Linked DNA regions of Styela clava. The protein of the gene in region 2 binds, or shares a complex with, the protein of the main gene of each other region. Links are inferred from orthologs where the notes say so. Each region holds a gene or a part of one and is shown on either strand. Other genes may lie near its edges. The genes, in order: microfibrillar-associated protein 1-like, splicing factor 3B subunit 3-like and splicing factor 3B subunit 6-like.

Region 1 (10,406 bases), on a different chromosome or scaffold from region 2:
GTTGGAAAATCGGTACAAATATACAAAATTTATAAACAATTATCCTGAGGTTAGTTGTTAGCAAAACAATTGCTGTCATGAATATCCGCATGTAAGCAGTACAAAAGTGGGACATCCTGAAATATGCGCACCAAGATAGCGCCAACCTGAACTCAGGTTGTGTACCAGGCTAGGGTTCATGTTGTGCGACATCTTGGTGCGCATACTTCAGGAGTACCCAAAAGTTAATGTGACTTGTGAAATTGGAGTTCAGCTTTTAAAATTTCTTGAATGTTTGGTTTCTGACTATGCACAAATCTGCATCAGTCAGCCATGTTCGATGTACTGATTTTTGATTAATGCAATTAAACTACAAATCCTAACAAGGCAAAATGATGATTGACTTATTTGATTCATACTAAAATGTCCGAAACACAACCAAAAACTAACGAATAGCATTCAAAATCGCGAAAAAGAGGTAGGGGAAAGTTGGGACACTTTTTTTCTTTTGTATATTTTGAGCCGTTAATTCTGCATGTTCACTTAAGTTGGCGGGACTAATGCAGAGAGGGGGAAATGTAGTTTTTATTCAGCGACTAAGAAATTCTCTTGCGACACACATCTTACTATCAAAATGCCAATACGAAACAAATATTTTCAGACCATCCCACGGCGAAATTCGGAAGGCACATCCACTCGCTAACGTTATGAATATTTTACAGTGGACTAAAGCTGAAAAATATCAGACGGTGGTTTGTCATGTTGGAAAAGCTAAAGTAGAAAAAAGAATAAAATGAAACGGTGAATTATTAGTTTCAACCTCCCAAAACCATTTTCACCTCATAGCTTGCGCCTCTCTACCCGTCCGTTGTCCGTTCGCGGGGACGTTGTAATTCACCGAAGGGCGGATTGAAACATCGAACCTCTGACAGGATTGCTGATATAGTATCAGTGTAAGAGCTGATTTTCCACTGTGCCCCACCTTCCGCTATTGTTTACAACCACGAATGAAAATCTATCTGTCCGAGTGGATGCGAAAACGCCTATTGTTATGTCACTTTTGCACCATGCTGATTGGTCAATGTTACGAAATAAACAAGGAAGTTGATGCTCGGGAAACATACATTGGGAAATAATTTCGCCTTTTCCTCGTGTTACTGCGGGCCAGATGAAAAAAAGCGAAGGGACGGATCTGGCCCGCGGACCGTAGTTCGGTGCCTCCTGAGATGGACAAAGTCAGACTAAGAAACAAAATCGCCTCCGCATGGATGAGATTATTTTTTGTGATCCCTTGCGCAACGATATGGCTCATCGTACTAAGCGTTAGGAATACGCTCGCCACCGCACCCCCGATTACTCTGCGTGGGTTCGCAGGTTCGAATCACATGCTGGGATGGTTATGTGCGAGAAGATTGCTGAACTCCTCGCCGCCGCGGTTCACGTAAGCTCTGGTCAGTTCCGGCTTCCTCCACCATCAAGTCCATGGTTCCGAAAACAAATAACTAACTAATCCCATACCCGACGTGGAATGGTAATAGGACGAGAGGCCGTGGTTCGACATATGGTTAAGCCGTCCTATCGGCTTTCCTCTCCCTGGGATAAATATGTAAATCCTATCCAACGAGTTCGGCGCAGGATGTCAATGCATGCCCCAAATTGTAATAAACCTCCAGCAGTATTTTCTTATCCACTGGTATTTTCCCACCGCACTGGTGTTTTAGGTCAGTTAGTCTTTGTGCATGCAACCCCACTCCATGTTACAATGCGTTTATTTCGTTACCTGGGAATTTATATTAGAACAAATAAAGAAACGTACATACAAAAGTGCTTTTATTCGATCAGTTTGTAAACTGTCGGCATACCCTCCAATTCAGTAAAGCTTTACATATCTGCAAATTATTAGGGTATTTTTTGCAAATGCAAATATCCAAATACCACATTTTCACTTTATTTTTGAGGTGCACAGAAACCGCTATTATATAAAGTACTTCATGAACGGGTAGTCAGTCAATCAGTATCAAAAAAGGGTTGATATTTCCACGATAAAAAGCTATATGTTTACTACATACCAGAGATGGCCATTGAAAATGAATAACAATTTTGTCTTAATATATAGTAATGGAGATATCTTTTTACAACGGTTACAGATAATGGATTTTGTATAATTCATTCCTTGACTTTCCTTACAAATTGATAAAAATTTTCAATAAAACTCAAAATAAATATTCTATTCCATAGTGAAAGCTCTTGAATTCTAACATTTTTGAGAAATGGAGCCATAAAGTGAAAAAAAAATGAGAGCCCGTTTGCACAGTACAACAAATTATTTGAACCTTATACCGTAAGTTTGCCACTTGGTAATCTTACGCTCCCCATCTTGGTCCTACAACCAACCAAGGATGTTCAAATTAAAACCAAATACAACATAGGTAAAATATTATGTTTTCCTTTGTTTTCCAGAAGGCCGTTCGAAATTTTGTTTCATTCCGCCACCTTTATTAGACATAAATTTGCCTGACAAAGCGTTATCTTGATTCCAGGGGGAGTCGTACACTGTAGTGTCCTGATCAAGTAAATGTGTGTATTTGGTTCTACCAGATCGGCCAAAGTTTTTAACTTGCATGACTTTAGGTAAAACAGATTTATCGAAATGATCTTCAAGGGTTGGATTCGTAATATCACGTTTTAGTGTATCATCTTCTTCATCAAGATAAAAGGCACCACGATGATAATATTTTTGTAAAAATTTGTATTTTCCTTTTTGTAGTTGATTGGTAACGACCTTTGGATTGTTACGAAGTTCAGCTTTACGTTCTTCTTCCGTCATGTTTCTCAATCGTTCAGCTTCTTCCTTTGCTTTCTGTTCAGCTTCTCTTTCATCTCTGTCACGTTTGATTCGTTTTAACTCCCGCAGTTTCCATGCTTCATATTCGTCCTCATCGTTTCCATCGTCAGAATCGACCATTTTAACACTTGCTAGGAGTTTATTTTCTTCGTCGACCTCCATACGAGCTTCTTTTTCGACGAGTTGCAAAGTATATTTTCTTCTTTCTTCCATGACTTTACGAGCTTGTTCTTCAGAATTTTTCAGTTTTTCTTCTTCTTCACGTTCTTGAATGGTTATTCGATCTTTCTTTCTAACGAAAACAGGTTTTAATCTTGGTCCTTCATCCTCGGAATCTGAATATTCGGATTCCGAAGTAAATTCTTCATCATCGTCACTGCTTTTCGCTCGATCCATTTCTTCTTCTTTGATATGTACTTCTGATGTCTGTTGCACTTGATCGAAAAGTTCTTCTTCAGTCTGTCGTTTTGCTTGTACTCTTTGTCGAAGCAACATTCTTCTATTTTCTATTTCATCATCATCTAAATCCTCATCGTCACTGCTTTCCTCTTCAACAACTGTAACTTTTTTTGAATATGGTTTACTTTCTTCTGGTTCCGAATCTTCCCCTTCACTGATAACTTCCGGTTCGAAATTGCGCCGATGTCTCAACCTATCGCCTCGTTCTTGTTCTGTCGGACTTCTATCCATGAGTCTTTGTAATCTTCTATCGACAACAGATTTTTGAGAGTGAGATTGTTCTCCTTGATCTCTCATTTCATAATTAGTATCCACATCATCTCGATCATAATTTTTATTTTCAAATTTTCCTCCCTCGTCGTCAGAATCTCTATCAAGATCTAATTCTGGAGCCCATTCAGGTTTTTTACCGGCAACATATCGCTTGACTTTTACTTTTTTCATTGAAATTTCACCTTTTTCATTTCTAATTGAAACCGCACCAGCCGTGAACATGATTGGCTGAGGCTTGGAGGATTCCTCCAAAAACCTCTCTTGACCGAGAGTAAACATCTTGTAAGTATTTCCTAAAGTTATAATGAAGAACCTCTAGAGAAGGAATTTAATAATTAGTTTACTAATATTATAATTCTTATTATACAAAATCGCTTCAAATTGCTAGCAAACTGGGTAAACCCCAAGAATTTAGATTGAATGAAATTTGCGATTACTGCCAATTGTAAAAGATTTTTAAGAATAGCAGTTTGCAGAATATAATGATTTTGGTTGAGGACAGTGTTTCGCAATATGCCCCTCCCCCCACCCCGCCCTTCCAAATGCTCTGAACACTTGTGGCCCACTGATGAACCATGAGAACACCTAGTTTTAATTTTAACGGATTTCCATCATTTTATATGCCATGTAATAGTAAAAAATGCCAAAAACCAAAAGAATAAATGGATTACAGCAAAAGAATTACCAAATTACAGTCAAATGTACTTCAGTTTAAATTAATATATTCATCTCAAATACTTTGAAGGTTTTTGCTTGAAGCCCCAGCTTGAGAAACCTTGGTAATAATATAATAGTTATACAGTAATACAAGAAAGGCGATGTGAAAAACAGTAAAATTGAATGTTTTTGACATCAATAATCATACTGCAACGATGGAGTGAACAACATTCAGACATTCCAATACCTGAATAAAGCTGAATAAAAGTGATACAACTCTGCAATGCTCTTTTGACTAAAAGTCTTATAATAACAAAACGGAGTGATACGAATAGGATGGCCATGTCAGCATGCATACCAAAATTAGCGACAGCTTGAACTTGTATTTTCATAGAAAAGTTCTAAACATGGTCTTCGAGGCGACCAACTTTCAGAAACATACCGGTACCGTTCCAGTAGTAGATTATGATCATATAGCCTATCTGTATATTTCGGTACAACAATTTGACCATCCTGTGCGCAAATTATAGGAAAAGTCACCAGCCAGCTAGCGAAAACAGTAACCCAATCTAATAATTTACTTGTCATTACTGCAAGCACAAGCCAGGTAGAAAATTTCCAACTCCTCCAGACAGTGAAGCACACTAGGTACCGTACTGGTACCCTGCGGTCGCTGCGTAAATACAGAAATAACAGAATGAAGACTGCTGACTTCCAGGTTTTACTAATTTCAGAATTTAGACAGAAGTCTTAAATCTATAGCATTACAAAATTTATAAATACGGTACCGGTGCGTATACTTCAATATTGGAATTCCAAATTACTAACGATGCATTTCATAAATCTTTCTGAATACCATGGCCATGCTGCCATATAATAGGTAGAGGCAAGGTACCGGTACTATACGGTAACATCTTTTATGACTGTATGAGTTTGACGAATATCGCGATAAAAACAACAACGACAACTTGCGGATTGCGTTGCGACGTTTGAGTGGCTCTGCCCAAACCTTTGAAAATTCTTCGCTGACTTCCGTAACATTGACTAATCAGAAAGGTTTTTCACGGATAGAGGTATAAGTTTATGTCGACTCCAAAATCACCATACCAAACGATATAATATTTGATAAAAACACAAAACGAAAAACTGATTATAAAATTAGGATTTTCATGCTCGGTAATCAAAAATCAGTCTCGTGACCAGCAGCGCTACACAAGATCAGTTAGAAAGTAAACTCATAGTCAATAGTCAAGTCATAGTCAATTTTATTTTTTCCAACCAGCAAAAAAAATAACATACAAAATCAAAAGATAAACAAAATTTAACACACATTTTTACTGGGGAAGGGAAGCCGCGGGGAACCAAATTTGGTTATCGAGCAGCGACACCCAAGATTCGTCATCTAATTTAATTTGGAAACTCGGAAGTTATGTTTTAAGAATAAAATGTACCGGTACAGGTTTGAAAATCCCATCCCATCGGATAACTCGTAGGGTATTCCCTGATTAATCGGGTAAGTAAAGGTCTGAAATGCTGATACGTGTTGTATATATTGTCTAGAAATAGCCTGATTGCGAACACTATAAACACTAATAAGTAGTTTATATATAACCATAGTTTAAATAGGCGCAAACATGCAAATGGCAATGAATTATAAATAGGCCATGTTACAGGATGAAAAGGACGCGGGAAATCAGTGGTGGTTATCGAGCAGCGGCACCTATAAAATAACTCTGGACACTATATTATAAAGAAGAAAAAGTCAAATACAGTGTAAATAAATTGGAAAATAAAATGCATACAATATCTCGAGGCAATCTGCTATAATCAACAGTCGCTCACTTCAACCAATGACATTAAACAACATGATGCGCAACTCCGGCATTTTTGTCCGAAGATCGTATTCGATAGCACGCTCCAATGCACATACTTGACGAGACGAAAACGAGCGGATGTGTGCTGCTTTCAAGGCGTAGCACGAATGGTGTTCGTGCCTGCTTTGACAGTTGTTGTCGATTTTAATGATATTTTTGAAAGTTGGGGTAAAAAGAAATCGGTTAAAGGTAAGGTGAATACTATTGTTGTATATCACACCCGGGCATCGCACTGTTAAGTACATGTGGGAAAGCCAGCCTTTGTCAAATACTACGAAGTTATTAATTCAGTACGGTACGTAGTTGCCCATTTGCCGAAATTACATATTTACTTACCCCTTATGGTTTCAAATAGTTCATGCACCTCCAGTTAGATTTTTTTAATCAGTGAGGATATATACTCATTGTTGATTGCTGCTCATTGTAACATACTATTACGCATTCACTTTTATTTGCGTATTGAATCAAAGTGTTAACAAGTTCACCTAACATTTCACTCATACCGGTCTATATTGTATAGTCTGATTTCTCAAGTATTTGGAGCCACGAATGCTTGTAATTTTATGACTAAACCCTTTTATTAGTTGGTTTATATACCAAATTCAGTAAAATATTTTTTAAATAAAACATGAGATATTGGATTTATTAGCTTTTCCATTCTGAATCATATAGACTGCTTTATTTATTCTTAACGAAAATTAATAAATCTCCTCTCTTTCTTCAGATGTGAAAGTTGTGGACAAACCTGTCTAAGCATTGTGAGACTCTTGCAGCACAAGAGGCAATAGCAGAAATAGTAAGTATATCAATCAAGAAATTAAGCCGACATAAAGCAAAACTTTCAACTATTCGTCTAATCTCAATTTCCTATTATTTATTCACAGGACAACTATAGCAGACGGGGAGATATCAGAAGTCTGGCGACATATCAGTGACAGTGTGATTCCAAGAAATATAATGCATTTGAAAATAGAAAATTGCAATAGAAAAACAACCTATGGAGGCATGCAATAACATTTGACCCTCCGGTAGAGTTGTGTATGGCCCCCACATTCTGCAGGGCTTGAGGAAAATAACTAAAAATTCCAAAGCGTAAGATTGCATAAGCGGTCTTATTTGTAAAAAGGCACAAAACACGCCAGACATAATTAAAACAGCTTTGGAAATGAGGATTACGGGTACCTCACTGCACCTGTGTTATATTTGGTTCATCAACTTTTGGTAGTACTATAGAAGAAATTCCGGAAGGGGTATAATCATCATTCATGATAAAATACTATCATATATTTTTTGAACAACTTCAATCTAGACCAGGGATCTCAAACTCGCGGCCCCAGAGAACTTCCAGTGCGGCCCTCGAACGTTTAACAATAATTGTAATAGTCATATAAAAAAAAATTTTTTTCATTTTTATCTAAATGTAATAGATTTTTCAAACCTTCTAAAGTGAAATTGATTATTCACCCAGAAAACAATTTACTGAAAGTAGTTTTGGAATATTGATTTTTTTTCGTCCACATTTTGACCCAATTAAGAATACACATCAAGCTAGCAAAAGAATACTTGAATAAAACACTTGAGTAATTAAATTAAACGCAAAGTACATGAAGAAGGTGGCATTTTCGAAGAAAATGGGAGTTGTAACATTTCTGCTCTTCACAAAATTCTGAAGCACATTGTTTAATTTGTCATATTTCCATCAATACAATCAAAAAACACAATAAGCTCAGCAGTCAATATGACAAATTCGAAGACCAACTTCGAACAGAAAATTTCCATGTGTTTGTATATTAATATAATTATACAACGACTTAGTTACTAAAAATCAATATCAATAATAATTCAAGCAATCCTATGCCACGCAATGTAGTGCGAAATGTCTTGTCGAAAAAATCTGTCATTTGTTTTTTTACTGATCTATACATGAAATGATAAAAGTAACTTTTTTGCATTACTGGAATTAATTAAACATTCGTAAAGATCCAGATAAACCCATGATCATGTGGCCTCGTTAGTTAGAGTTGGTACTATAAAATCATTTCAGACTGGCCTTAGTATGCTGGTGACACAAAAAAGATGCCAAACGCCAGGACAAATGTAATTATTAAAACATTGAGTTTATACTGTAGTATTTTTGTTAATTTTAGGTTCATATATTTAGATTAAGTTATTTTTAGTGTATGTATTATTCTTTCCTTATTCAAAGCTTGTTCAAAAATGATTTTGATGGTTGTACATAGAATTTTACGATTTTTTATAATAAATACTGTAACTTGCAAATGTTGCAATAATAGTGGAATGCAAATATTAATATGTAATTGCATTTGAAATTGAAGAAAATAATAAAACTTAATCCAACTGTTTAGTTGCATCACAATATATGAAACAAACTAAAACTATCTTAAAAATATCTTTTAAGTATACATTATCAAAAACTGTTTGCGGCTCTTTTTACAATTTTCAAAATGCAATGCGGCTCTCGAAAACCCATGAGTTTGACACCACTGATCTATTCTAGACGATTCAAGCATTGCTTTGGGAAATTATATCACTTCAATTAAATTGAAATAATCTCGCTATATTAAATACAAAATCTTTGCTATCATAAAGGTAAACCAATTCAGCCACTCGAAATATACTGGCCTTATCAAAGCAATGGAGGCAAAATTGAGAGTTCATGAGCTATGAACATTTGTTCTTTTCTTTGTCTTGAACTTTCCATACTCCACAGCCCCTATTAATTTTTTTTAATTTTAATTACCATGTGATGGTCATACATATCTTTAACTTGTATTTTCTGTCATGATGTATTATCTCAATGTGCCAAACTATTAATTAGTGTGCATATTTTGCTTCCAGATGACATAAATGTATTGTCATGTTTATTACCTCAGCTTGGAGTATTGACAAGAAAAAGGTGCCAGTAAATTAGGTAAAAAAATTTTCAACTCATTGTTATAATCAGAATTCACAATCAATAGGAATTATAAACAGCCAACAATCAGTGAGAATTATATGCGAAATCCCTCAGAATAAATTTGTCTAAAATCGGAGGAAGGCAAAAAATATAGGTAGTTTCCATCCACACAAGCATTTCAAGAAGACTTGCTCGAGCCAAACTAAATGAGCATCGTCAGGTGATCGGTAAGGCTGCAAGTTGAATTCAGCCCTGCAACCTCCTGCATAGAAGATAATATTAATTAGTGGGCTATGAGCTAAATTCCTAAATTTAAACAAACCTATCTACGATGCATTATGTACCAGCAATGTTACCTACGATTAACTGAATATGGAATATGTCTAATAAATTCACCTACAAAAGCAAGTTCGATAGGTGCAAACTTTGTGTTATGGAATTGTATCGCAGCACAGTTTTGTATGACCCCCTCTTTAAATGAAATTTCAATGATTAAGCGCAAACATTAAAATTACTAACTTTGAACTTTGTCATTATCTGCAAAATGTTCCACACAAATCTTTCCGCTATCGCGTTTGTAATCTTCTCTGATAAAAAAAAACGTCTATGATGTCCAGAATTGCTCTTTACAGCTTGCCTGTTATTCCAGCTTTCAAAGTAAGCAAAACTTCTTAGATATAGAGATTATTTTGTTTCGTTACAGGCGCAAAAAGGCAGGTACTATACGTAAAAAAGACGCCGAGTAGCAAGAGCGAGCGGAAAACGGACGCGAAAGGCGACGAGAAATATGTGCATTGGAGCGTATCATGAAATACAATGTTTTGCCTGTAGTCTTATGGAGTGACGTCAGAGTTGCCTATCATGTTGTTTAATGTCATTGCTTCAACAAAACACGACTCTGAACACCACTGACTTGGTAACCATGGAGATGGTATTAATGGACTGTGTCACAACAATACTATTGCTGTATTGTGATGCGCATTGTCTAACAGTCGCCAATAAACGTCAGATTCCGAAGGCGTAACACTGGCTTTCAATTAGACGCGGTGGATATTGAGAGCAAAGAAAACAGGTAATAAAATCTTGTAGCATTAAATAGAAAGACGGAATATCTGTGACGCTAAAATTAAATTAAACGAGATACGGTAACGTGGTAGGTACCGGTAACGGTACTCAGTGCTGCAGTGATATACTGTATATCAATGCAGACGTGGTCCATTAAAAGAATAATTTGCACTGGACAACAGTTTGAACATATAAGGACAGCGTAATGAGAAAATTAGTAATGCAATAATTACGTCAATTATCACAGCTAAGCCATATTTACAGTACTTGGTCATTAGGAATAGTTCAATAACATTATTCACTCTGTTTTAGGTGAGGGTATGAAAACAGTAATACA
Region 2 (10,701 bases):
CTTTCAAATTCTGGCGCATTTAAAAGTAGACTCGGCAGAGCATGTTCGTTCGCAACGCTCAACCAAAAAGATACAATGGCGTTTCGATTGAAATCAATCATTAAAGATCGATCAGACTCTTTACATATCGTTGCAGGCTCTATATGCAGCAGTCATCACGAATCCCAGTTTGGCAAACCCTGGGCTAGGAAATAGAATTACTGCTTCAGCGGCCATATATTACGAAACGGCGGCCCTTTCAGGTAAGAACATTTCCATGCTACAAACAATGTTTGCATTCTTTACACTGATCGATGTAGTTCATAAACTTAGCACGGAGGTAGTATAGGCCCATAGGATATAACATTGGCATATCATTGTGTGAGATGGACTTGGACAATAGATGAACTTACACAATATCTGATTTGCGCTTCCGATAAGATGAATATTTTAAGCCATAATCAACACCTAACTGCAAAAAATGATAACGCTCCGAAGATATTGTTTGTTACTCGCACCTGATAACGAAAAAAGGCTGTAAATCAAATACAAGCTTATCAGTCGCCGGATCACTATTGAGCTGATAAGGACTTTTTTCTAGCATGATGACATATAAATAGGGCAATCTAATACTTAGGTACATTGCAGAATTTGACAAGCTTATAAGAAAGAAAAATAAAAAACAATGCCATCTAGAAATCAAAATGCAAGATCTACAATTTCAGCAAGCCATGCGCACCCAATTCAGCCACAGTTTACCAGCGTTATTAGCATGTTAATTCACGAATGGGATGAACAAAGAAGGCGAAGATTTGAAGCCGATGAAAGAAAAATTAAAGCAAAGACATCGAAAAGGGAAAATAAGAGCCTGAAAATACTCAAACCACTTGCGAAGAAAATAAAATCAACAAGAATTACAAAACAGAAGTATTTGATAAGGGGAAATGGAAAATATATCTCACCCAAAAGGCGCAAACGTTCAACAGGTTCGAAAATAACGAAGAAACCACATACTTGTCTTTCTCACAAGCGAGAATGATTTTAGTGTATGCGATTTGAGGATATAAACTCTCATTAATTTATTTCAGTCTCAATTGTGGTTCTGTATTCTGATATTTAATGCGAAATAAAAACTTGAATGAGTTATGTGAAGTCACATAATGCAGGAATAAAAAAATAAGGTTGTATAATGGCTTTTCCAATGTTCATATGATATTTTGTTTAGTTTGGCTTTCTCTAGACCGCCAGAAGGAAAAGTGAAGAACGATAGGATTTTCATATTGATTCCGTGAGAGGAATCCGATTATACGGATTTATCAAAATGACAAACCACTACATTTTGCTTACGCATCATTTTAGGATGGATATGACCAAGCAGATAATTGTTCCACATGTATTGAGTTTTATGAGAAAAGCAGCCCCAACCGACGACGTGAAGAGCATTCATTTTGCTCGTTACTTGCCTTTGGGCCCGCGGACATTTGAATATTTTTTCTGTGTATATATGTTGTCGCTTACGCCGTTTTAATCTAGTCGTTTTACGTACGATAGACTTCTAGTTACTTGATTTATTATTATGTAAAAAAGTGATTAGAGTTAGAATCAACAGTGGGATTTAAATTTTATGTCAGCTGGTTCCATTACAAAAGTCATATTTTTCAGCCGGTTCTGTTACAAAAAGTCATAATTTTTTTAGCAAATAAATTCAATTTTCAGACAAACAATCACAAATGGAAAATTTCTACAATTATCAAATGTAACCCAACGTATAACTGTTACGTGCGAAATGTTACGAGACCATTTTACATTTCGAAAAAAAAACACGTGAGTTACTTGATCTCAAATATCGGTGTGTCAGATAAGATGCAAAAATCCATTGACAGTATCCAGTAGTGCTAACCGGTTTGCTTATCTCATAAAATTCCGTGAAACGGTTCTATAGAACCGGTGCAAACCGGCTAAATCCCACCACATGCTTTGAACTGGGCTAGTTCTACTTCCCCCATCCCGATTCCAAATTAGATTGTATCGAAATCCTCTATGGAATTATACGGAGGCAATTTGCGCTTTAATCTAATATAACGTTATGTAATGCCAATTCATTTCAGTCTAAATAAAGTTGATTTTTGAATATTCAAATTCAGTAAATAAACATGGAAGATGTCGAACGTTCTTTTTCAGGTCTTGGTATATACAGGCTACAAGGAAAATCAAGAACTGCTCAAATAATACAGCATTCATGCGCACTTTTAATAATATATATTACAAAAAATAAATATATATAAATAGTTAAATACTCTTTATGTTTCTGCCTATTATGTACTTTTCTAAATTTTCATTAGCCTCGAAAACCCGGGAAATTTTTTTGACTCAGTCGATAGTGAGAAATCTCTTCCACACTTTTTAAAAATGATTAATCTAAAAAGAGGAAAACGGTAATAATAAGTAAATGGATACAGGTTTTCATATATTGTATATTTGAAAATCTCGCAATTCTCTACTTTGTAATTTCGTTTTTGATAAATGAAAATATAATACATCTCCCTAAACAGGCCATAGTGTTGTTTTTCGAAATGAAATTGAAATAAGACACAGTCTTATTAGGTCTTATTAAGTCCATGCTTCCGAAAACGACAGCTATGCTCAAATATATGGACACTTCACAAGGTGTCGCTGTTTTTTATTCTGACACATAAAAAACGAATATCTTGAAGTCCACAGAAATTTTTAAATTAAGTAAAAGAATAGACTTCTGGCGAAAAATCATTAACCACTGAAAATTTCAAAGCAATTGGTCCAGTATTCGAAGAGAAAAGCGATTTTATCATGACGAAGGAGAAGAAAAACAAGATCAACAACATAATATTAAAACCAAAGCCTATATGTATATATAATACCTGATTGAAACGATCGTTATGTACAATGACGTGTCCAATAACTAACTAATCCCATACCAGACACGGAATGATAACCAGACGAGAGGCCGTGGTTCGTCATATGGTTAAGCCGTATTATAGGCTCCGCTCTCCCCCGGGATAAATACTTCTTCCTTTTTTATTCTTATTTTTGGGAAAACATGGCATTAACCAGTACAGTATTGTTCTTTTTTGCATTTATCTTTTTTCATGTCTACTTGTAAAAAATGGTGGCGCTGTTTCGTAAGAACAATTTATTGTGTTATCCATGCGTAACTTCGCCATGCTGTTCCCGCCAGAACGTTTTTTTTTCTTCCCGCTTTTTATTTCGTCTAGATTTTTTATTGTTGAGGTTTTCTTTAGTTGACAGCTAGCTGCCGATCTTCTCGCGTCGATATAGCCTCCTAACCGTTTATTTTGTTCTTTATCACCAACATTCAAAATGTTTGAAGCGCGTCTTATCCAAGGTAGTAATCTCAAGAAAGTACAAGAAGCATTGAAAGACATTGTTACAGAAGCATCATGGGATTGCACATCATCTGGAATAAGTTTACAAGCAATGGATAGTTCCCACGTCTCACTAGTGCAACTAACTTTAAGAGCAGATGGATTTGAAAACTTCAGATGCGATAGAAATCTGGCCATGGGCATCAACATGACAAGCATGGCAAAAATTATGAAATGCGCTGGAAATGACGATATTATTACCCTAAGAGCAGAAGATAATGCTGATATGTTGGAATTGATTTTCGAATCATCGAAAGGTGATAAATATTCTCAATACGAAATGAAGTTGATGGACCTTGATTGTGAACAACTCGGAATCCCTGAGCAAGATTATAGCTGTTGCGTGACACTTCCCTCCCAAGAATTCGGAAGAATCTGCCGAGATTTAAGCCAAATTGGAGAATGCGTTGTCATCACTTGTACTAAAGATGGAGTGCAATTTTCTGCAAAAGGAGACTTAGGAGCTGGAAAAATTAAACTTAAGCAAAATACTGGCTCTGATATCAAAGAAGAAGAGCAAGTGACCGTCGAAATATCAGAGCCTGTTCAGCTGACTTTCGCGATAAAATATTTGAACTTATTTGCGAAGGCATCTCCTCTCTCACCATCTGTATGTTTATCAATGTCAAACAATGTTCCACTCGTTGTTGAATACAAAGTAGCAGACATGGGTCACATCAAATATTTTCTTGCTCCGAAAATTGAAGATGAGGAAGAACAAGACAGTTGAAGAAACTTCTAGTTTTCACATACATTTTGTTCATAAAAGGAAAAACAATAGACTACTACAGTACTAGTTGGCTTATGGTCAATAAATTATACACACTGCCATAAGGATATAAATATCAGTTATGATTACTGCTCCATTGACTTTCCCATTCACCAACATCCAATTGATTACTGGATTAGATAAAATTCCATATTATGGCGATTGCTTTGTTAATATGAAAACATCATTTTCTTGATTTCTCTTGTCAATTTATCTGAACTGGCCTCATTTGACCTGCCTTCCCTCTCAACTTAACCGAAGTTACTCCAAGGTCAGCTCCATTTATGGAAGTACTCACCTCCAAAGCTATAGCTTCATCCTTCCTTTTGGTAATTATCGACACGCTGACTAATTTGTTTCTTTCATCTTGGGTTCTCAGCAGTGCAAGCTGATTGATTTGTTTTGCATTATCGAATGAAACCTCAAAAAACATCTTTGCTTTATCATGTTGGATGAATATTGCTATTGATAAAATATTAGTGGATTGAACAATTTACACTTTGGCCTTAAATATATAATATTGTTGTTTTTTCAAACTGTCTTGTATTTTGCTGTAGAGCTCTTTCTCTTAAATTAATTATTTCCAAGATTCGAATTGAATATTTGAAATTTATGTAGTGCTATTTAACTTTGTAGTGAACTTCCTATGAAAAGAAGGGTTTCGATTTATTTAATCTTGTATTATAACTCCGAATTAATTGAATTCTGTCAAATAAAAATGACAACTTTTCAACTGTCCTATCTGTATAATTATTGGTGTAAATTTTTCAATACTAACATCATGGTTTCTCTTAATAATCAACACTGCCTCTCAGTTTCTAACTTGTGTTTCATGTGTTCGTTAATACATATTTTAGAATTTCATATTGAATAAAAAATATAAAACATTGAACAACGCGAGGGTTGTGTTCGGAGCTGTTCATCTGATTATTTGGACACATTCATAACAAAATGTTTCTCTATGCTCTCACACTTCAACGAGCTAGCACAATAACGCATGCTGTCCATGGGAATTTTTCTGGCACGAAGCAGCAGGAGATTGCCCTGTCTAGAGGTAGGGCTTAGTTATAATAACTTGTGTTTTATAATGAACGTAGATGGTAACTGGTGAATTAAGAGTCTCAACGACTCTAAATCAGTGGTTCTCAACTTTTTTTCTTTCGTGGCTCATTATCAGTAGGGCACGGTTCCAATATGATGTGACATTTGGTCCAATGAAACAAAAACTATTGCGCCATGCTTGTCTCTATGATAATTTAAACCGATCGTGACTACGTCGGCTGTCATGTGACCAAAATCACGTTTTTTTGCTGATTTTTTTTCCCTTTGTGGTACTTTTTTTTAAATTGCGCTCGGAGGACCTGACTGACACGTAAGGGAGGGGTTTGCACTTACTGTTTTAATTGATTTCTATTAATGTGGTGGCTATACTTGGTATCGGAGAACCGTACTGATTTTAATTGCACAAAAAGTCTGTAGCTCATTAACTTTTTCATGCATAGGAAAAAATATAAAGGACAAACAAAAAATTCTTTCGGGAAGAACAGACACTTTCACTCTAATAATCAGAATGAAAATCACCACTCGGTAGCATCATCATTCATTGCCACTACAGTAAAATTTACCTATAGTTTTCGATAGGTTTATGGCCCACCTGAAAATTATTCTGTTGCCTAGCAGTGAGCCATGGCCCACTGGTCGAGAACCGGTGTTCTAAATGGTAAAAATATCTATGGACTGACTTAACAAATCATGCATTAGGAGAGAGATTGATTGTTAATTCATCATATTTCTATAAAGCTAACTGTGTAGAAACCTAAACTATTGATCAAATCCCAACCTTTTCCTTTCTTAAAACTTTGTGCAGTTTAAATAGCTCTTGCAAAACCAAGAATTGATAAAATATGATACCTAAGTAATTCTAATATATTGCTAAAACTTTTATGAGCTTGGCAAATAACAGATACAAACTACTATGCAGAGTTATATCAATAGTGTGTTAAGATTAAAACTTCCTAGTTGATATTTTAAAATACTTCATTACTAAATAATGATAACACCTCTAACATTCTGCCCATTCAATTAAAGGATTAAGAAAATAAAATATAACATAAGTTTTTCACCAAAAAAACAATATCACAATGATCAATGTTTGTAGGAAAGATTTAAAATCTGCTTGCAATCTCGCAATGAAAAAGGCTTGTCAATTTAGGCTGTTAGGTACTCCCTAAAAAAATTTCATCTTTGTTAGCCTTGAATATATTAATAGAAGGAACAGCTAAAAATTCTAAATATATTTTTTTTTACAACGCTTGCATTTGTGCCTCTTAGCTATGAACAAGGCCCTATGGTAGCAACCACTGATGTTTGGAATTAGGTAAACTTGATGGAATTTTTCCTGTTCTTGATGGTTATATACTTCAATGCTAACACGTCTCATGTTTCATCTGCTATTCCATCACGCCCCCGTTTCTGTTATCAGATAATGTCGTATTATAATCAGAAATTGCTAGTTTATTTACTGTAATAAGATGATGAAAACTGATTTGCCTAAATTGATACACTATTTGAGGTGGGTCTCACAGTTCATCCTGTGTCATAGAAGAAAATTTCAAGCATTCCAATTTCATTAGCAAACAGAGAATTATGTATGCTTATTAATAAATCTGAATCGTAGAAATGATTACATAGTTATCACATTTTGTAAACTTTAAATAAATTATCAAATAGATAGACATAAATTTTTCTGATGTTAAGATGTGAATTTTTGTATATTTTGCTAATATTCTACGTTTATAATTCCAGGAAAGATTTTGGAACTTGTCAAACCTGATCCAAATACTGGAAAAGTTCATACGTTGTTGACGGTCGAAGTTTTTGGCATTATTCGTGCTTTGATGTCATTTCGATTAACTGGTGGTAACAAGGATTATGTCGTCTGTGGAACAGATTCAGGAAGAATTTGTATTCTGGAGTATATTCCTAACAAAAACAAATTTGACAGAGTAAGTGGGGAAATATATTAATTCTTTTTTGCCACACCCCTGAGAATTAGGGATTTAGTGTCATGAATTCATAATATCTATTTATATATGTCTAGCTGGCTGATTGTTATAGTCTATAGATCAGCAACCAGTGAACTGCGGCTCTTTGTTCTCGGAGCTCTGGTTCCCGTGAATTAGAGTGGCTACGGCAGATTTTGTTAGAATCAGTGGGGATTGAATGAAAGTTGGAGTCATAAAGTTACTACAAACTAATTACACATCATAGCAGCTATAAATCGAGAGTGGTAAAAATAGGTCGCATTAAGGTGATTCAAATCTGTCAGAACTAACTTTTTCTTTTTAGGTTCTTTTCATTTCAACGTAAACTGAATTATTGCATAATTCGTAAATTATTTGGCTTCTTCCTAGTAAGAACTAGAATATCGCATCATAAGTGGTTTTCCGAGAGTTTTAATAGCCACTAACATTAGAGTAGAAGTTGGTTTGAGTTTGACGGCAAGGATGCCAAAAGCTCTTCTAATTCCAAAGGTTGCTGACCCTAAAATGAACTAATTTTTGCTTCATGCGTGATATTACGCATTTATATTTTTAGATTTTCTTAAAATTAATCTGGCATGCATTTGCTCTATATATCCTAGTAAAAATACTGTTTTGCACTCTTCTGCACAGGTTCATATGGAAACATTTGGAAAGAGTGGATGCAGAAGAATAGTACCAGGACAATATCTTGCCATTGATCCAAAGGGAAGAGCAGTTATGATAGGTACCAGTATATTAATTTATTTGATTTAAATTTTCTTATGACAATGTTATTGACACTGATTTCGTGTTCATAAAACCAATATGATAATTTTATCATTAATACAACATACTATCTAGTTGCCCAATGCAACTATGCAAGCACTATTTTTATGTAGCTAACAGTACATGACATTTACAAATGAGTATATGTGAATATTATCGAAATCCTATTTTTATTAGGTTCTATGGAGAAACAAAAACTGGTGTATATCCTGAATCGGGATTCCGAGGCTCGTTTGACTATTTCTTCTCCTCTGGAAGCACATAAAGCTAACACACTCGTGTATCACATGGCTGGTATTGATGTAGGATTTGAAAACCCAATGTTTGCATGTTTGGAAATGGATTATGAAGAAGCTGATAATGATCCCACAGGAGAAGCAGCACAACTTTCCCAGCAGGTGTGTGTTTATTTTTTTATTTCAAAAAATTTTGTCAATGAACGAATGTTTGTGAAACTGGCATTTTTCAATAAAGGTACAGAAAACAGAACCTGTATAACAATTAAATAACAAAAATAAAATTAATTAATAATACTTTTTAAACTCTTTAGCTTTGAACAAGGCTCAAGTCCAGTAGCTATTCAATTAAGCCCACCTGGTATGATAATTGGTTGATAGATAACTAGACCAATTGTATCTAGAATATGAAATCTGTAAACTTGTATAAACCTAAACAAAATAAATATAATTTAGGAATTCCAGAGGTTTTACTGTAGCATTTTCTGTTGTTAATTAATGTATCTAGTTCAGCGTTTCTTAATAAACAAATTTTGCCTTGGAACACCGGATCGCCAAGAACTTGAAAGTAAAACTGATGGGTGGTTTCCGAAAAATGTAGTCTATGATAAAATTTATAAGTTTGCTGCAAACTTGACAAATAAAAAATTAGGCTGGCGGTTAAACATATGGAACGGTCAACAGAAACGCCTTGCTTTCCAGACTGGCACGAGGCCTGTCCGCATGTTTGTTGCCAGTTGGGAGACAAATATACGACCCAGAGTTGCCGAAGTACAGCCAAGATCGCCATGGCGACTAATTTAGTCGCAATTGTGATTCCTGTTCCAAGGGACACTCAGAAGAACAGTTATTCCAAATATTATTTATTTTATTTTTTTCAGACCTTAACATTCTATGAACTTGATCTTGGACTCAACCACGTTGTAAGAAAATACAGCGAACCTTTAGACGAACGTGCAAATCATTTGGTCACTGTACCAGGTGGTAACGATGGACCTGGTGGCGTTCTTGTATGTGCTGAAAATTACATTACTTACAAAAATTTCGGTGATCAACCTGATATCAAATCTCCCATTCCAAGAAGAAGAGTAAGTTTGAAATGCATTTCAACTAATATCGGGTAGATAGTGGCTCGAATATTGTTACTAATAGGGGACTTGAAACAAACAGAACCCTTGTCATTTGGAACACATTCCAGAGCAGTGGTTCTCAAACGGTGGGGGACAATTTTTTGAGGGGCCGTGAAGCTAATTAAAAATAAAAATATTTATTAGATATGATCTTGCCAGCCTTATTTTGGATATTTACATTTCCAAACTTTCATCTATTTCAGGGGTCGGGAACCCATGGCTCGCGAGCCATATATGGCTCTTTTGGTGACGGCATATGGCTCCCAGAAAAATATAATATTCTAAGACTAAGCTTACTATTGTTACGAGATCCCAAACTCTTTTATAGCCGAATTTGGCAGGAAATTCCCAATACGTTTCAGAACACGCGCCCAGCACATGTCTATGTTATGTAAGATATTACTAGACAGGCATTGTGACAAACAAGGGGATTCTGGAACATATATTGTGACATCACAAAGCGATATAGTTTTAAAAACACTACGGATATGCCTAAACGAAAAAGGCTGATGAGTATCGTAGATTTCAACTTGGGCGGCATGTGAGCAACCGTTCAAGACCCGCAGCGACTACATGCAGCATCAGAAATCACATTAAATGTATATTGACATTATATGTGTTGACTTTTGAGTAAACATTTCAGGCCTGATTAAGTGAAGAAATGGTATATGGCTCGCACGGAAATGCAATTGAAAATATGTATATTTTATGGCTCTCTTGACCAAAAAGGTTCCCGACCCCTGATCTATTTCATTATCTACGTTCCATCCACATATTTTTTTGTTAGCTAGCTATTTCTGAGATGGGCGCGAGACTTGACAAATTCTAAAAAGGGGAGAGGCTTGAAAAATTTGGGAACCATGTTCTAGAGCAAACATTAGATTTTTACAAAGCGTCCTATGGTTCAGTGATGCACAAACAGTTCAAGTGTTCAATAAATTTCCTCATTTTCATAGAAGTATTTATTTATCTGTTCCGTTTTGAAGCCACTCTGTAATTACATTACTAATTAATTATAAAAGATCGAAAGTTAGGGGATCCCCAAAACAGCGCTCTTACTCCATAGTGACACCTTGTGTCCCATCACTAATTAATTAATAACTCGCTAATTATACGACATAATTCATCCAAAATTAATAGGCTTCTGGTACGACATATGATGAATGCACATGCAAAATCTGGAGCAGATTCAATCTCGCTTTCGTGAGATATCGCGTGCATCTAACAGACAAACAAACAGACAGACAAATACCTATCAACATACTTACCGATTAAAATCGATAAGTAATGATAATCAACATTTTCACAATTCTGTAAAAGAACTATATTCTCTAATGCCTTGGTGTGCCATGCCTA
Region 3 (11,482 bases), on a different chromosome or scaffold from region 2:
AAGAAACGTCGGCATTGTGTCGTCATAATTTCGGGGCTAGCCCCGATCGGCCCCGATGATTTAGTAAAAGAAACAGAAAACAAACGAGACAAACGCGGCGAGTGGAAGATAAAAGAGAGAATACGATATACAATGAGCAACGGGGGCAAAATCGGCGTCGCCCCGTCGACGTTCGGCGAAGGCTTTGCGAGCGAAAAATGAACCATGTCGGGAGAATATGGCTAGTGTAGACAGTCTGTGCAACCGATATTGAGGTATTTTTCGAATATTTTTTTATTATACCGAAAAAACACCCGGGGCATTGCCCCGGTTGGCCCTATTGACGTGCCGCCACTGAATGTTATATTGGGGGTGTCCCGTGATAGATCAAATGACGACGAACTCGACGGCTAAAATATTTGGAAAACCATCACTGATTTCTAACAATTTTCACCAATAGGATTGAACAATCATATTTCGTTTTTCCTGCTAGTGCGACTTCAGTGATGCTGTTGTAGCGGGCAGGCTACATAAGAATAGTAGGATAGTTAGGATAAGGATAAGAAAAAAGATTTACATATCTATCCCGGGGATGCCATGTCGGGTATGGGATTAGTTTTATTGTTTGTCTTCGGAAGCATGGACTTGGTGGTGGAGTAAGCCGTAACCGACCAGCGGTTACGTTAACCCCCAACGACGGCGAGGAGTCCAGCGATCCTCTCACACATAACCATCCCTGCATGGGATTCGGACCTGCGAACCCACGCAGAGTAATTAGAGGTGCGGTGGCGAGCGTGTCCCTTACGCTTAGCCCGTTGAGCCACACCGCCGCGCCTGTGTATTCTAGTATTCTTCACCACATATTGTTAATAGTGCATGTTATTTGCCTGAAACAAGATCGTTGCTCTAATTCATTCCCTTTATGATATATTTTCCTTCGCTCAGTGCTGCTCGTGTTTATCGTGCGCATTGTTAGTTAGAAATTTGGTTTCATCATATATATTGGGGTTAAGGTTTTAAGTGTATTTCGTTATCTGTTATTTGGATTGTGCATCTAAATATACGAACATTTAGCATTCAATCTATTGTGTGCTTATTGACCTCTGAAGGAGTCAGTTGGGGTTTTACTCCGCTAACGTGTGTTTAATAACAGGGGGGTAAGAACGCGCAGATAGGGTCAACAGTCCCCTATACTGTAATAGGTATCCCTAACCCCTTAATGAGGATGTCCCCATGATAGATCAAATGGCGACGATCTATGGAGCTAAAATACGTGGAAAAACACTATTGACGAAGTGTCTAGTTTCGTGTTTTTGAACATCTTTAATCTTTCTTAATTTAGGGTACATGCTATAACTTGCTCACATGCTCAACCCGTGATAATAAGGTAACAATTGGCAGTAACTAGAGCGCAAGAAGCTAAACACTTGAAGTATTAAACGTACTGTATTAGTATTCATTTACGTTTCACCGTTAAACTATTGCACTAAAAGTCGGCGGGCCATTTTTAATCGTTACAAGTGCCGTAATTAACCCGCGGTTTGGGAACCCCAGGTTCAGGGGCATAACTTGTGTAATTTTTTTAGCTTCCTTTTAATCAGTATTAAGTTAGATCGTTTGTGAGCATTTCTGAGAATAAATAATGTGACCGTCTTTGTTCGTTTTGCCACATTTTGCGCCCTCCAGCAGCGTGCCGCCCGTGGATTTATCTACAAGATCCAATGGGTAGCTACGTCACTGCATCCAAACCTTTATTTAGAAGCCCATTTAGTACCTCGACGTAATAGCAGTTCAATTAGCCTGTAACACGAGCTGCGGTAATTTTATTGGTGGCGAGTTCCCAATTTCATCTACTAAAACGATAAATCCAACTTCCGTGAATAGGTGAGCGGTCAAAAACTGTAATATGCAAAGGTTACCTGTCAATAACCTTCATAAACAGTTCTCTCAGCAGCTAAATAAGCACCCATAAAGTAACCTGGTAGGCACATTCTGATACATTACTACAACTATATACAAACATTTGAAGTAAATGTAGATGATATAAACAATGTATTTACAAAAAGCGCTCCATTGAAATGGAAGCTGTAGGGTACCCACATTTTTGTAACAATATTGAGAAAGTATGAAAAGTGCCATAAGCAAATATTGAGAAGACAAAATTGGCAAATTTATAAGTTTTCAAAGAGTGGGGGTTGCAAGCGCGAAAATAACTTTGGATTAATTCTAGAATTAGATCTGACAAACTTCAAAAATTTTTTTTGTGACATAGCGTTTAACCTTGATTTGCGCTATTTTCACGAAAAGTGAGCGAATTGTATGCCTGTTCCATGATTGAAAATGTCTACACAAAAACAATGACGAGTTGTTTGATGGTGAAATTCTAGACAATTTTGCAGTATATACCAAAGTGGATAAATTTCAGTTTCTAGTCACAGATCCAACTGCCAATACTTTGTCATCCAATAAACACACTGCCTCTCCGGTAAAAAATTAAAAACAAAAGGAAAGCCATCTTGGATTCACTTTTTGTCGTCTGTGCTTACACCAAATTTAGCTTTCATCTTTTCCAAATTTTCTTGCTTCTTTTTAGCATCTTGTTTCTTGAATGTCTGAAAGTGTGTAATTGAACCAAATGTCACTTTTATAATTGGAAAACATTGCAATATAATAATATACATGATCCCAATATAATTGAACTAAATAAATTTGTTCACTGTTCTAATGCAAATGTTGGGTGATTTTATCTATATATTAAATATGCAATATAATATTTAAAGTGGAATGAGTTAATGACTAATAGTTTAAAGGCTAATATAATAAGTAGCAGATTAGAATAAATGAGATATCTGAAAGGTGACACAATCATAAATGATTCAGATATTAGTTCCCTTGCGACAATCTTACGTGAATGTAAAAATAAAGATAAAGTCAGTTCTTCAACCAATGTCATCATTGGTTAAATAAAACCAAACCATATTAAATTAAAAATTATATTATAAAGAATAATATGGATTCATGCTCGATTTCTGGAAGCCAAACGTGGAACACGTACCCTGTTTGGATTGTAATATAAAACTACAAGATATCTGTTGCAAACATTGAAACCAGATAAATGATCACAGGCATTCTTTGCATCAAATATATCTTCATATACAATATATGCAGTTCCCTTTGACTCAGCTGTAGTTCCCCTGTAATGAACAATAAAATAAATAGTCAGTACATTGAATGTTGAAGGGAATAGAAAAGAGAAGTTTTTAATTGTGACGTAATGGGCTGAGATCAATTCCTTGAAATGAACAACAATTACCTTAAGTAAAGCTTAGTGTTCCACACTACATCGGACATAACCATCCTTGGCCAAATATTTAGATTCTTTTTATCTCAATAAATGTATATTTTCAATAAAAATGATATCTTACATTCGTATTTGTCTGATTGCACCGTACTTTCCGAATATATCATACATTTCTTCAGCTGTGATTTTGTATGGTAAATTCCTGACATATAAAATTCTGTTAACTTCTGGTGGAAGTCTCACCTGAAATATAAAAAATATTATATAACAATTGTCATGAAATGGAGTTTTTGTTAATCAAAAATTAAAAAAATTTCAAATTAATATATTATAATTTTGAAAACAGTCATTTACACAAAGTATTCATAAAAATGAATAAAATTTGAAATTGTTGACAACAACGTGCTGATATTTATTTTCTACCTTAGGTGTGGGTCTTGTAAAACTGAAAATTATAGACATGAATGTTATTAGCCGCTATAAATTATAGAATCAACAGAAAAAAGAAGATATTCTTGTGGAGGTAAGAAGGAATACAGAAGGTCGATGTTAAAATTAAAACAGAGTTAACAGCACATTCGATAAATATTATTAAAATTGGTTTAAATATCCATTTGTGTTTGATGAAGCACTCGAAAAAGTTCTAGGGTAAAAAAAAATATTTTAGGTACGGTACCCGTATTTATAGTAATAGGCAGGCATACACAGCTATGCAATTTCATGTCAGTGTGAAAGTGCAATAGATTAAGATATAAAACTGCTTTGGCAGTTTGGTAACGATGGCAGACTTTCAAAATCACAAATTTAGTAGGCTAGTGTCCGAGGGTCGATAAATTATTATTTACTAATTTTACAATTGAATTTATTCATGAGAATTATTACAGTTAATTGATATAGGCTACGGTACCTTAACTTAATTCTGATGTGATAATTCTGTCATAATTCAGTAATTTAAATTCTTTTTGATGACATGGCACTTACTTCAACATTCAACAAAACTAGAATTACAAAACTTTAAAATCTGGAGTGATTGATGAAGTTGCAGTGGAGCTTATTCCAGTCATTTATTACAGACCCCACAGCTGAATGGTAAGTTAGGTCTGTAGGTACGGACACGGTACCGTACTGGTACCGGTATGTATTTCATTATAATTCGCGACGTCTTACGAAAACTATCATATAAAAACTAAAGCAAAATCATTTACAATTTAAAAACTTACATTAGCTCGCCTTGCCGCTTGCATAGCCATCTTGAAATTCAGATATTTGGAATAAACCAGCGAAAACACCTCTGTGAAGCCGAACAACAGACAAGAAATCGTCAAATAGTATTTATGTATAGAAAGATCCTACGCGTAAAATAGGAATGTTCCCATTTAAAACAATCTATTTCAATAGTGCTATAATATGACGCAATAACGCTGGGGAAACGTAACAAGAACGATTCGCGGATGCCCAATGCTGTTAAAAAGTGTCATAAGTTTTACCATTATGTTGTGGTCATTTTGATCATAATTGCCTTCCGTGGATATCGATATTCTAATGGGCAGCTTGTTTTTATAAATGCGTCGATTTGAATCTAATTTTTCCTTTAAACACAGTTGGTAAGATGCCATTTCTAATCTGTTGCCCAATGCTCAACAGGCTTTGTTTGCGCTTAACATCAATTTATTTGCTTGCTCATATTCTCGCTAGCTACTGCGCTTGATATAGTTTTCTCTGTAGTACTGAGTAGGGTTCCAGTAACAAGGCGTCCTGCAATCAATAATTCGGTGTTCTGCAATCTATTTTGGATTTGAAAGAAAATTTAGATCATGGACGATGATATCACAGGGGCCCAAACCTTGGCGGAAAGTCTGAAAGCACAAGTATGTATATGTGGGTTATTTATGCCAATGTCAGAATGTGTTGCATTCTACAGAAATAACAATACAGCAATATGTTAACAATTCTAGCGGTATGTCCAACATATTTACTGTGATATTTTCATGATTTTTTCGCAGGGAATCAAATACATGTTTGGAGTGGTTGGAATTCCTGTCATAGAGGTTGCAATTGCAGCACAGGCAGTCGGCATTCAATACATTGGAATGAGAAATGAACAAGCTGCTGCATATGCTGCTGGTGCTATTGGATATTTGACTGGACGGCCAGGTTCCCTTTTGATCTGATTGTTCAAATTGTTTATCAGTTTTCTGTGGCATGTTTGATCCAGTTTTTCAAAATTTTTGAGAACCAAATTTATTTTATTCCTTATCCATTTGAGTACTTTCAGATCCTTGTACTGCTTATTATTTCACAATTGAATGCATCTAAACAGATAATAATTTTGCTTTGAAAAGGTGGAATATTTATTGTGTGGATGGTACTTTTAAGATAAGGCATAGAAATATCATATTTTTACTGGAAATGTTCAACATTTTCAGTTCAAATAAAAGTTGCTGAAGCATGGAAAATATGCTTCTATTTACTACAGGAGTGGTGACTCCTCTACGGCCCATGGGCCGGGGCCACGGCCCATCTAATTGGGCCACATGGGCCGTGGCCCATAGCTTGATGGGCCGCGGCCCCATCAGGAAAAATTCAATTATCTTAACAAAATTTTCAATTTTTACCAAATTGTCGATATTCGAACCAAAAAAATATACTCCTGTAGTATGTGTACCAGGTTAGGGTTAGGACAAAAAAAATTCAGATTTTTTACATTATAGTTCTATTATGAGTTCGGGGACTGTCTGTGTTAGCCAAGTGAATAGTTTCTTTACACAACTTGATGGGCCGTGGCCCCGGCCCATGGGCCGCAGAGGAGTCACCACTCCCACTCTCTATTTAAGAATTCTAGAAAAATTAGCTATTAACCATAATTTTAACTCAAGCTCAGCGGAGAGAGAGTGGTGAAGAATTATTTGAATTTTTTATGCGCACTGATATTAATGATTTTCTGTAATTCACAGGTGTATGTCTGGTTGTGTCAGGGCCTGGTCTGATACACGCTTTAGGTGGAATGGCAAACGCTCAAGAAAACTGCTGGCCCATGATTACTGTTGGAGGTTCATCTGATCAAGATCAGGAACAGATGGGGGCATTTCAAGAATTTGCCCAGGTATATTAGGGGTTATCATAACAAGGTTATGTCACCATTTTTATAAGTCTAAATTTATAGCTATACTTGTATTTGTCTATGGATTTTGTTTCCTTATAATACGGATTTGGGACTTCAGAATGATTAGGCCTATTCAGTTATATACAGTATATATTTACCCCAATTTATCATCTCCAGGTAGAAGCAAGTCGGATGTATACCAAATTTTCTGCTAGACCATCTAGTCTTGAAGCAATACCATTGGTTGTTGAGAAAGCTGTTAGAACATCTATATATGGAAGACCTGGTGCTTGTTATATTGATATTCCTGGCAATTTTGTAAATGCTTCAGTGAGAAGGGGTGATTGTAGGTAAGCTTCACCAAATTTCTGATTGTTATACATCAGTGTGTAGTAACCTGAAATGAATATTTTCAAGTAAATTATTTTATGGACCATGCCTTCTGTATTGGAGAATTTTCAAGTTATCAGTTTTGGAAATACTCCAACCAAGTCACCGAAGTAGCAAAAAATTGCATTGAAGATAATTTCACACATTCATAGATGCCTTCCTAAAATATTGAAAAATTGACTAGCTTGTTTCTGCAATATGTCAAAATATGGCTGCATTGATACCGAGACAAATATTGTCAATAGATTAATGAATTCTAGTTTGATTTTCACAATGACATTTATTTCATATCTCCATGCCAATGAGGGGCATATTTATCTATATCATTGTTTTTATGAAATCTATTTCAACTCGAAACAGCAGTGACCCAACATGATTTGTGAATCGGGAGGGCAGTAAGTATCAGCTTGATTTGAGACTGATGACTTACTGCTCGCAACTTGGAGATTTAGCAACATTCATTAAATACTGATATTTATGCTTATTTATTATATTCAGACAGTTTCCAATGTGCCCAAATCCATCAGGCTTGAAAGCTGATTTGAATGTTATGAAGAAAGCATGTCAGACATTGATGATTGCTAAAAGACCATTGGTTATCATAGGCAAGGGGGCAGCCTACTCCAGATCTGAAAAAGAAGTGCTGGAATTTGTGGAGAAGCATTCGTTGCCCTTTTTGCCTACACCTATGGGAAAGGGTGTGATACGTGATGACCATCCATTATGTGTATCTGCTGCGAGGTCTAGGTAAGTTACCTCCAATTATTTGATTTTTCAATGGAATGATAGCAAACGAAATTATACAAAATGAAAATATTGGAATATTTCCAGGGCTCTTCAGATGGCAGACTGTATACTGTTGATTGGTGCAAGATTGAACTGGCAACTTCATTTTGGAAGGTAACTATTGTTTATTTTTCAAAATTGACCAACGTTTTTTGGTAGCGCAACCAAAGCACTAACAACAGCTGCAGAAAATTTATTTATTGCAGTAGTGAAACTAGACTTTCCGGCAGTGAGTTATATATAACCTGTCTATCTGCGTACAATTTTTACAAAAAAACGCCTAAAAGCACAATTTAATAATACAGATATTGCTTACATATGCTTCTCTAGACATACATCACAAAATAATAATTTGATTTCATTTTGTCACACTACTGAGTAACAATCCTGTTTCAAAATATATAGAAATTAATAGAATAATACGGTTTTTGCACAAATGCTCCCTGATGTGCCCAAATTGTTCAACTGTCATTACTTTCCAGTTGCCCGTAATTTTTGTTCATCAACCAAATTTGTATCCATAAGTACTGTCATATTTTAGGCCTCCGCGATTTGATGAATATGTAAAAGTGATTCAGATTGATATCTGTGCTGAAGAATTGGGGAATAATGTTCCAAGCAGTATTGGCATCCATGGCAATATATCAGATGTGGTTAAACAGGTATGTTGAAATTTATATATACATATATGCTGAAACTCATGTTCGCATAATACAAATAGCATCGGCGAATTTACTTTCTAGACACATTTTTAAGCATTTGAATTGCTATCCATTAGTTGTGATTTTTTATATCTCACCAAGCAAAGGCTGATGAGTATGTGACGTTTTTATCAGAGATTATTAGTATATCCGTGAATATCATTTGTCATTCAAATTAACTGTTTCTATTTTTTTTTGAAAATTTAGATGCAGCAACACTTTGTTGGAATTCACAGAGGTATCATGTGGAAACATCCAACTGATTCTAAGTGGTGGGAAGCTTTGAACGAGAAAATTGAGAAAAATGATGAGCAAGTTAAGGTATAACAATTAATCGTAATTTAATTCAGATAAATTTTGTAAATGGAATGAATTGTTTGTTATTCATGTTTATGTTGATTGATAGTTTTTTGTAATATATCTTACTTTTTCTTTGTAGGCGATGTGTGCGGATCATTCCGTACCGCTCAGCTACTATGCCGTTTATGATATATTGAACAAGTACTTGCCTAAAGATAGCATCATTATTGGGGAAGGAGCAAATACTATGGACATTGGAAGAACTATGATGAAAAACTATTACCCAAGACATAGGTTTGGAATGATTATTAGACTGTTTTGTACAAGGCAATTGTCTTGTATTGTAATAATACCATAAAATTGATTCAACATATGATTTCTCATAGGCTTGATGCTGGTACTTTTGGAACAATGGGAGTAGGGGTTGGCTTTGCAATTGCAGCTGCTTTATATGCTCAAGATTCTGCAAAACCAGGACAAAAACCTCAAAAAGTGGTAAGCTAGTTTCTTTGGTTTCTCGCGGCTTCCCATCCCCAGTAAAAATGTGTGGTGAATTTTATTTATTTTTCAATTTCGGAAAAAAATAAAATTGACTAGGACTTAGTGAAGGTTGAATTAATTTTTATTACTTTATTTCATTACTTCTTGACGACACAGTGCCAGAATCTAGTAGTTTGGCATTTTGCCTGGTAATCATTGATGAAGGGAAAAAATTATTTTCATTGAAATGTTTGAATGAATTTTAAAATTGAAGAATTAATTCTGGGGTATTCTATATAGGATAGTGTTTGGAATGTAACAGCAAGCAATATAGTGTATTCAACAAATGCATGAAAAGGGACAATTAGTGTCAACTTCAACCATACAAGAATTGTATGGGAATTGTCATGAACTCTGAATTGATATTTACTATTTAGGTATGTGTACAAGGTGACAGTGCTTTTGGATTTTCTGGAATGGAATTAGAGACTGTAGTACGATACAAACTTCCCATTATTTTTGTGGTTGTCAACAACAACGGTATTTACAGTGGTGGACCTAAAATGTTCTGGGATGGACTAAAAACAACAGAAGATGTTGCAACTGGGTAGGTGTATTGGTTTCTTGATGAAATAAAATGAACTGGCTAGATTGGTCTTGACTTGGATGAAAATCAATTCACATTTTCTCTCAATAAATTTTTTACTGAATTTCTTGAACATCTATAATTTAATTGTTAATTTTTACTTTGGTTAGGTCACTTCCGATGTTCTTGACTCCAAATTCTCGTTATGAGCAGATAATGAGTGCTTTCGGAGGAATTGGCTACTATGCAGAAACACCCGATAACTTTGATCAAGCCCTTAACAATGCTTTCAACAAACATGCTGATAATGGGGAGCCCTGTCTAACCAATGTTATGATCGATTTGACTTCTGAGCGAAAGCAGCAAGAATTTCAATGGCTTACAAGAAGTAAAATGTGAACCTAACGGCTGTCAACCAAGTCATGAATAATTCCAATTTAATTTTTTGTTTTAATATACAGAAGTGTTTATCATCTCTTCTATGCAATTGATATTAATTTTAAATCTGCGTTTCCTATTAAATCCTATTTATTATCATTGCAAGTGATATTATCTTTGTAAAGGGGGGGCATTACCACCTGTAGGGCTGAAACAACAACCGTTGATACGGGTGCGACTGCAAGGTATAATTTGGCGTTTTTGGTTGTTTTGCTGTTGTATAGACATTACGATAATAGCATGCATGCAAAAACGCGATTCATTTAAATACCTAGAGCTAGTTTGCCTTTCCAAATTTTTTTTTTACCAGAGCAGTGTTTTCTTGAAGGGTAAATAATTCACAGCTGTCTTGCCTTTCCTTAATAGGCCTGACTAAATATTTCACTAATCTTCTACACAAGCATCAATATATAGGCCCAAAAAATGTTCTAAAACAAAGGAAGAAACCAGGCCTGCCTCAAAACTGGTGATTGATATTTAGTAGCGATTTGAGCTAGAACCAAAAGGTATCTTGAATACCATGATACATACAACACTGTGAAACTTCAGAATGACTATATTTAAAGAAGATGAGAATGAATGTATACTTTCTAAATATTATTTACATAATTTGATGATGGTTCAGGTATAAACGGTCGATGTCGATTGTTTGGTATATTCCCATCATTGTACAGCAATTTGTACAAATATACATAAGCGAATCCTATATTTCAGCGAATTGAATTTGTACAATCTTATACTTGACCCAGTTCACTGTATGATTGAGTCACCACCTACCATGGATAAAGGAAAATTATACACACAACACAATTGCATAGCGGCAGTAGCCATAAAATATGGTATTGGAACTAGCTATCAGATTCATCAAGTTTTTTCTTCCTCTTCTCTTCAATCCAGAGCGTGATTTTATTTTTCAACTCTGTGTTTGGGATAACATCTTGCATTGTAAGAGAAGATCTGTTAAATGGGTCAGTGGGATCACTCATCAGATGTCTTGATATAGTAGATCTGTCTACAACCTGTTTTGATGTTGGTAAAGTCACAGGATCACGCATTAATGTTGACATTAAGGCATCAAAAAATTCATCAGGAGCATCCATAAACATCTCTTCTTCTTCCTCCTCTTGACTGCTAAAGAGTTTGACGCGTTCAGATATTTCCATCATTTTCTGTCGTAACTCTTCATTACCGATACGTCTAAGAACTTGACAGGCCATTGGAAATAACTTATTAGAATATGACCTACCATCTTTTGATATAGCATGGCAAAAATCATCTTTTACGCAAAGGTGGACATATATTTGGCATAAGTCCACTACAAGTACTTTTGGTTTGAACTGGTATTTGGAAAGATCTCGTACCCTTAGCGCACCCATTTTCGGCCCAACTAATTTTAACAAAAAGTCATCAAGCATGGC

The links.
Region 1: splicing factor 3B subunit 3-like (region 2) and microfibrillar-associated protein 1-like share a complex: the UniProt entries of both Drosophila melanogaster proteins name them as parts of the spliceosome B complex. The link is inferred for Styela clava from reciprocal best matches to the Drosophila melanogaster genes Sf3b3 and Mfap1.
Region 3: splicing factor 3B subunit 3-like (region 2) and splicing factor 3B subunit 6-like share a complex: the UniProt entries of both Drosophila melanogaster proteins name them as parts of the splicing factor SF3B complex. The link is inferred for Styela clava from reciprocal best matches to the Drosophila melanogaster genes Sf3b3 and Sf3b6.

Annotation. Positions count from the first base shown.
Region 1 is NC_135261.1:7,093,763-7,104,168, forward strand, and holds microfibrillar-associated protein 1-like, read right to left. Parts: upstream 3,890-10,406; 5' UTR 3,836-3,889; coding exon 2,417-3,835; 3' UTR 1,797-2,416; downstream 1-1,796. UniProt on the Drosophila melanogaster protein: Required for pre-mRNA splicing.
Region 2 is NC_135262.1:17,041,738-17,052,438, reverse strand, and holds the start of splicing factor 3B subunit 3-like, read left to right. Parts: upstream 1-5,084; 5' UTR 5,085-5,121; coding exon 5,122-5,224; intron 5,225-6,975; coding exon 6,976-7,175; intron 7,176-7,844; coding exon 7,845-7,938; intron 7,939-8,156; coding exon 8,157-8,377; intron 8,378-9,096; coding exon 9,097-9,303; intron 9,304-10,701. Other genes in the region: proliferating cell nuclear antigen, read left to right, coding at 3,337-4,131. UniProt on the Drosophila melanogaster protein: Involved in pre-mRNA splicing as a component of the splicing factor SF3B complex, a constituent of the spliceosome. SF3B complex is required for 'A' complex assembly formed by the stable binding of U2 snRNP to the branchpoint sequence (BPS) in pre-mRNA.
Region 3 is NC_135263.1:10,172,563-10,184,044, forward strand, and holds splicing factor 3B subunit 6-like, read right to left. Parts: upstream 4,645-11,482; 5' UTR 4,531-4,644; coding exon 4,501-4,530; intron 3,524-4,500; coding exon 3,405-3,523; intron 3,174-3,404; coding exon 3,035-3,173; intron 2,592-3,034; coding exon 2,502-2,591; 3' UTR 2,015-2,501; downstream 1-2,014. Other genes in the region: 2-hydroxyacyl-CoA lyase 1-like, read left to right, coding at 5,095-5,148, 5,284-5,434, 6,235-6,383, 6,561-6,733, 7,272-7,520, 7,605-7,673, 8,101-8,221, 8,468-8,581 and 4 more; ubiquitin conjugation factor E4 A-like, read right to left, coding at 10,913-11,482. UniProt on the Drosophila melanogaster protein: Involved in pre-mRNA splicing as a component of the splicing factor SF3B complex. SF3B complex is required for 'A' complex assembly formed by the stable binding of U2 snRNP to the branchpoint sequence (BPS) in pre-mRNA.